Arabidopsis thaliana: one gene and its partner. The protein of the gene in region 2 interacts with the protein of the main gene of each other region in a pairwise test. Each region holds a gene or a part of one and is shown on either strand. Other genes may lie near its edges.

Region 1 (3,754 bases), on a different chromosome or scaffold from region 2:
AATATAGAAACTTAGTTAGAGAAGGGCAGAGACAGGCATAGCCTATCTAGGTGAAAATCAAGAAATATTGACAAGAAAAACAGATTACATAAGCTTATTTATTGTCGAAGGTGAGGATATAAAAAGGGTGCATGTGCTTTCCAGTTTGCTAAGGATCTTGAATCAAAATAAGAAATTACGCAACTAACCATGTTCTGGTTGAGTCATCCAGTGCATCGTCAGTCTTTCCACCAATACGAGACGTCAAGTTTCCAACATTATTCCCATTAGTTTTAACAGGAGGGACAAAATTACTACGGTATCCACGTCTTAATCCACCCGACCTTGAACCATAGCCCCTACCTAAAGCATTTTTGTCACTCTGTGGAGAAAGACATGAACTTGGTGACTCAGTTGATCCTCGTTTTTGTCTTACATCCATTTCCTAAAGCAACAGATATAGTAGTCAACATTAGCAAAGGGTAATAAAGCACAGTTCGAAAGAAAAGACTCTGCAAAGTCAAGATGACTCTAAGAGAAGTAATTGTCATGAATAAATCTACCAGTTTTATTTTGGCGGATACAAATCCATTAGGAGCTCCATCTTCCTTTACTTCCCCATCATTTGCAAGGCTACTGGTTTCTGCATGAGGTCGCTTTGTTCCAAAACCAAATCCATGACTTCTCTCAACAATGACACATTCATCAGAGGCACGGTCTTGATTGTTCACTGAAGTTTTGCGCTGATTATCTGGTTTACCAATACTGTTTCCATACAATGATGTCAGTTTGGCTTGCATCATTGACTTTGGTGCTTTGGGAATCAACTTATCCGTATCATGCCGTTCTTCCTGAAACAAGAAAACATCTATGAAATCATAGTAGAAACAGGAAGCAAGACATATAACATGGCTGTGTTTCCAAAACTCATCACCAATACTAAGATCATTGAAGAAATGAAGCAGTTTACAAGAGCATTACCATCTCTTTAACACCCTTTCCGTTAGATTGACTGACATGAAAACCAAAGTACTTAGACTGCTTAATCTTTTCCACATCAAATCCACCTTTGCTGCCAAAAATTGCCCCTGGAGCTGTATTTGCAAGCTCAAACGCCTTCCTGGATACAACAAGAAGCACACCATAAAAGGGTACTCTAAAAATCTCAAGTGTAGCTAATATTGACGATAATTCAAAAAGATCTTTAGATTTCAGCTAGTAACTAAGTGAACGAAGTCCAAAGATTAGAGAATATCACTCAGTTATACATTTCCCTGATTCCAATACCCAACAATTCAAGCCACACTCATAAGACTCTACTAAGCTAAGCAAGTAAAATTCGAACCCTCTCTTCTTCGAAATTAAACAGGCTCAAAGGGGAAAAGCTCAGGTACCGATCCGAATCTGAAACGAGGCCTTCCAAAGCTAAATCAATCTTAGAGGCAACTTCACGACGAATGGGACCAATGAAATCACGATCGGCGTCAGTGACAGAACGAGAATCGAGGAAACCTAGAAGACGAAGCCCAAGGATCTGAGCAGAAGAGAAATCAGATTTCTCCAGGAATTTGTCGGCGCCGAAGAGCAGCGATTGGAGACGCTTCAAGTTCTCATCCACTTCCTTTCTCCAACACGGCGTCTCCGTTTCTCCTTCCTCCTTCACATTCAGAAACTCCGGTGGTGGTCTCAGTAACGGAGAAGAAAACGGCGACGAACGCTTTCCCGCCATTATCCTCTCTTCCTCTTTCCCCAAATGCCCAAAACCCCAGAAATGAAATTCAAATTCGCGCTCAGAATCTGAAACCACCGACCCACACATTCCTTTACTCTCTCACCAGCTTGACGCGTAGAACGTCATGCAGTGTAATAGTGTAGATAGAAACGGCGTGTAGTTTCCTTAGAAATCAGTTGCTTATCGGGCCCAGTTTCTTCATGGGCAATAGTAAGCCCGTTATTGTCTGTATTTTGGGTTTTACTGTGTTTCGGATATGCTTCCTCTAAACTTTCGTCTTTATTTTTTATATTTTTACATAGAGAATATTAGGCACTTAAAAATCATTAGGCACTTTGACTAATTGCAATTACTTGTTTACCCTCAAATCGTCGGTTATATATAACCAAACAAATCAAACCCATTTTCATTAAACCAATTCCGGTTACGAAACCCACGATTTTGATTTTGCAGTTACCATAATCTCTTGTTTTATTTTTTCCGGAACTGTAAAAAAAAACAAATCCAGAAAAAACCTAAACTACAGTTTCAGAAAAGGTGACTCCGACGACGGGATATCAATCTCCTCCGTTACTGTCTACCACCACTACGGTTTACACTACTTTCTTTCTTCTTCTCTCCACCGTAAAACTCCAATAATCGATTTCGTAATCTCAACCACTTTATACCCTTGTGACTTCGGCGAGGGGATATCAATCTCCTCTTTAATGGATTTGGATTTCGTTACTCTAATTCAACTTCAATTGAGTAGATTTCGAGAAAAAGTTCTTGAATTACTAAGGTAAAGTTATGTGATGTTGGGTTCTATATTCTTTGGTTTATCCAATTTGATATGGCGTCCGCAAATATTCCTCGATTCGAATCTTCGGCGATCATAAATCTTGCACTGAATACTATGGAAGAGAAGCTACCAAGATCGCTCAAGAATCTCGACTTGAATACGAACCTTGTACCAAAGATTAAGATTCTTCTTTCAGCTTATCTATCTTCCTCACGTAAGTCTCACTTTCAACAATTTTTTTTCTCGAGCTGGGCTAAATTTGGTGTTAAGCATGGCTGGTGATATTTAGGAGTTGGAATTTGACAAAGTTTTCTACTAGTTTGCTTCAATCGCTGGAATGTCTCCATTGAAATCGAAACCTCCATCTCTTGTGAGATTATGTTATTAGGAAACATTTAGAGGAAATGATTCCTTGTTTAGCTGAAATCTATGTTATATTTCCATAAAGCGACGTTTATGTGAACAAATTTATGTGGACTTGTTATCATGGATATGTTATGGACAAATTAGTATTTGAAATTGTAATTGACGGTTGTGTAACGGATTGTGTTATGGACTCACCATTCTCGTAACATGATTAAAGATAATGAAACGAGATTGACTATTGATAATTGTGTGTTTATTAAACTTTCGCACCGGTGAAGAGATTAGTCCCTTGAACTTGTGATTGTTTATGTTATATCTTGAGATGTTTGGTATTTAAAATCAAACTTTGACTTGTATTTAAAACTTAAAATCCAATCGAGAAGATCTAGCAGTGTTAAATGAACAGAGCTTTGTGGACAACGATATTTGGACACGTTTCTTTTTACCTTCCTCTCGTACTTTACTTGAACTTGTCTCTAAGTTTGCTGTCAAATTATATGGCTTTTTGAGTATTTAACGTCTCGTCAATGCCAAAGTATTCATATCAAATGAACCATTTCAAGTGTATGATCCAATATAGATTAATTGAACACCAAAAAATTCATTATATGCTTCTATTTCCAATGTTGTGGTATCCATTTTGTATTGTCCATATGAACAATGTACTTTTGCAGGTTCGGTGACCATTTTTGTATGTTGGTTTCCTCTTTTGTACCCAAAATAGTTTCCATCGACTATTAACTCAAAAAACTATTTTTTCAATCTCTTTTTTTCAATAATTTTGGGTTTTGGTTATCCTTATAAATCATAACTATTCTTCAATTTGTAATTGATCCGTACAAGTATAACTATATATGGTCAACACGAAATGGTCGCTTGTGGATGGCTACTTGTAA
Region 2 (3,754 bases):
CAAGCATACCCAATTCACTCAGAGATTTAACTCCCAGCGTAATCATGCTCACCAAATTACCCACAGCGTTGCCTTCCTCCATCCTTGCCTTTCCTACATGTCCACTCGTCTTCATTTCACTTACCTCACGATTCACTGTTTGAGAGTATTCTTTGCACAGACGAACAGTAGAATCAATTACCACTTGCACAGCCTTAAAAATCTCCGAGGAAAAGGATTCGACTTTCTGTCTCATAGAAAGGTGAAAGTTATTAACAGATGACAACAAGGCAAAACAATAATCTCAAGTTGATTCTCAACCTACAGTAGTAATTTCAACAAAACAAATGTTAAAAATGTTTCATGATATGGTACGTGTAGTTACTAGCGAAAGATAAAGATGATTTTCAAAGATACCTTGGAATTCATTATCAACTCCTTTGTCAAATTGAGCTGCTCTGAAACAAACTTATGAACTGTAACAGCTGAGGCATCATCAGTCATGAAACAAGTTTTTCCAATAGCAGTAAAGCTTGAGGCAGAAAAACGAAGATAATCCAAAAGAAGCTGCATAACATTGATTGAATAACTCAGTCCCTTCGAAACCATAAGCTGCGACAGAATCCTACTTCCAGAACCAAAAAGCATCAAATAACCTGAAAGAAAATGTTGGAATGCTCTTCCTCTTGAGACTCCTCCATGGACATAACAGACATGTTTAAATGTTTGGCACACCATTGGCTTACCTAGAAGAAGTGGAATAAGAAAAGATAATACAACACCCCTCCAAAATTGAGGTTGAGCAGTAAGCAATAAAAATGAAAACATTGTACCTTAATAGCAAAAGCAAGAAAGTAGTGTGAGCAATCAGGCCGATCCAAAGCGAGGTATTTTGAAGCCACAGGCAGAATCGCCTTGTTCAACAAACACAGGGAAACGTCAAGACATGTGAAATCTTCCCAGAGTGTCTATACAGCTGTCAAGGAATACTTGGAAACAAACAAACAAACCACTTAAAGCATATATGAATCCAAGTGAAACATGCAAATAAGCAGATATAAGTTCGTCACTTCATTATCCTGAATCCAACCGTCACATAATGGATATCCACATCTCAATTTTAAACATAGTATAACTGAAGATATTGAAAATCAGCAAAACTGATGAAAAGACTGGGGATACAGTTAGGCTCTCCACAAAAGAAGGCAAATCAGAATTCTCTTCAACATCTAACTGACTGAGCCGCGTGAGTAATTGAGCCCGATTCTCGATAAGCTGTTGAGCGAACAATGAAGAAAACGAAGCTCGTTAGATCCATGAGCTACAGAACTCAACTGAATCCTAATCACTCTATATATACATTAAGCTGCAGAAACTTAATCGGAAGGGAAATTGATAAGAAACATCACAAAACCCAAAGCAATCAGAAGAAATTTCTCGATTTAACAGAGAGGATTCGTAGAAATGACTACCGGAAGCGATAAAATCCACCAGAAGATTTTAGTTGGAAAAAATATACAGAAACCTAGAAAATCAAATCAAAGGTGGAAATCAAAGAGAAGCTTACATCAGAAGATTTGATCTCTTCGAGTAACTTCATCGCATTCTTCTCCATCACTCACTCTTTCTCTCTCTCTCTACAGGGAAATTTTGTTTTGGCAGTGTGAGAATCTCTCTCTAGGCTTTAGCTTCCCGCTCTTTACATTTCGCCTATATTGGAAATTTTCTCTGCCTTTCGCTTTTCAATTTTTGATTTATTAAACAAAAACAAATTAAAAAAAATGGAATATAAAAGATATTTTGAGGCCCGTTGGATCTAATTGGGCTTTGTAAGTAGCTCAATTTTCACTCGATGATTTTCAATTCGGTCCACCATTAAAATTGAAACCCATATCAAATCCTTAACAAAATTATTAAAAAAAATACCACAAACACCAACCAGTTCAGTTTTCTTTTCTATTTTTTTTGGGTTTTGCTTTTTTTACTACAATATTTTTAATGATTACAAAATTATAAATTGTGATTAATTTTACTAGCTAATATATATGTATATATATACAAATGCAAACGAATAAAAATTTGAAGGGTGTATGTATACGTCGTAATAAATTGCATGAGATGTAAATTTAGAGGTTGTGACAGCGAAATAGACAATAGAGAGGACGATGCATGAAATGGGACAACAAGTGTTTGACATGCAAATCCTATCTTCTTTAATTTGTGTCCCTCTCATCCCAACGCAATTATTACGTCATTTATTAGTGCTTCCTTTTTGTGGATTCTTGCTGTCTTCCTCCCACAATTAATGTATTTTTCCTATATATTTTGGATTAATATACACTAGATCATTTGCAAAGAAATTTCCAACCATGATGAACCATGCATAGTAATTAGTAAATAGGCGTTATTTATAGGGGTAGTACAATCTCAAGTTCTGAACAAATGTTCATTGTTACGTCCATCTTAAATATGTAAATTAAAAGTATGAGTTCAAACATTTCATACGAAATTACGAATCATATGTGTCAGTGTGTAGTAGATGGCTGAATGCATTATTGTGATCATCAACGAGGAAGTGTGTAGTAGATGGCTGAATGCAATATTGCGATCATCAACGAGGAAAATAATCCGGATATACCAATATCCAATGTTTTGGTTAGTTTTATAATATATTAATCTTCTATATAGTTAACCTTTGGTTAATAGATTAACATTTTTACTCAATTTTACTATATATTAATTCGTTTCTAATGATTATCGAAGGACTTTTTGAACCAAAACTCATATGTCTTCTCTTAGTCGAGATCTTTCAAAACCCTTGACCAAACTCATATATATATATATATATATATATATATATATGTTAATTTTACGGGTTTTACCACTTGGATATATATACTAACTTTTTTTTTTTTTTACTATATACTAACTTTGATATCCGACTTATTTAGAGTTAGACAGTGCAACAAAAACGAAATCTATACACTTTTTACATGTAATGTATATATAGTGGAAAAAGTTTGTACTCCATCCATTTTTGAGTGATGTTTTCATATTTTAAATATCATTACAAGTTCAAACCAATTTCATTTTCAAAAAATATCTCGTCGGAAACCTTGATAATTCCTCTTAATTAAAAATTTGTCTTTGAACATGCAAAAGTATGGAAGAAGAGAACCTCCTAAACCAAAACGATTCAAACATAGAGAGTCGCACATTTCATAACACCACGGCCGAAATCAAAGCAAACGTTACAAAAGCCCAAACTAGAAAATAGATCAAAAGTCACCCTAATGATCACAGAATTAAAAGACCAACAATAACATCGAAACTAATTAATTATTCCTTAATTAAAACCCTAACCAACAAATACTCTCTATTAAGGATGTGGATCGATCACACCACCGACCACGCCGTGTCCACCACCGATACCACCACCAACACCAATACCACCAGCCTTACCGAGACCACCAACTCCACCTAAACCACCTCCGGCTCCGCCTAGACCACCTAAACCGCCAATACCACCGGCTTTACCAATACCACCGCCAACACCACCTACACCGCCTAAACCAGCTCCACCTAGACCGCCAACGCCACCTAGACCACCAACACCCCCTCCAACACCGCCTAGACCGCCAACACCTCCTCCGACACCGCCTAGACCGCCAACACCGCCTATACTATGAAATCCACCGATTCCAGCTGCACCGCCTATGCCACCATACTTACCGATCCCGCCAAGACCACCGATGAGTGGCATCCCTAGACCTCC

Evidence for each region. Proteins that work in one complex are often made in the same cells at the same time.
Region 1: the proteins of AT1G04650 (region 2) and AT3G27120 interact in a two-hybrid assay, tested with the Arabidopsis thaliana proteins (one study listed by BioGRID).

The regions. Positions count from the first base shown.
Region 1 is NC_003074.8:10,002,484-10,006,237, forward strand, and holds the start of AT3G27120 (P-loop containing nucleoside triphosphate hydrolases superfamily protein), read right to left. Parts: upstream 1,824-3,754; 5' UTR 1,799-1,823; coding exon 1,374-1,798; intron 1,100-1,373; coding exon 961-1,099; intron 831-960; coding exon 543-830; intron 425-542; coding exon 189-424; intron 1-188. UniProt on the Arabidopsis thaliana protein: Involved in DNA double-strand break (DBS) repair via homologous recombination (HR). Limits class II meiotic crossover (CO) formation by regulating the invasion step of meiotic HR.
Region 2 is NC_003070.9:1,297,310-1,301,063, forward strand, and holds the start of AT1G04650 (holliday junction resolvase), read right to left. Parts: upstream 1,715-3,754; 5' UTR 1,595-1,714; coding exon 1,547-1,594; intron 1,255-1,546; coding exon 1,162-1,254; intron 948-1,161; coding exon 813-947; intron 775-812; exon of another isoform or gene 726-774; coding exon 636-725; intron 547-635; coding exon 397-546; intron 227-396; coding exon 1-226. Other genes in the region: AT1G04660 (glycine-rich protein), read right to left, coding at 3,359-3,754.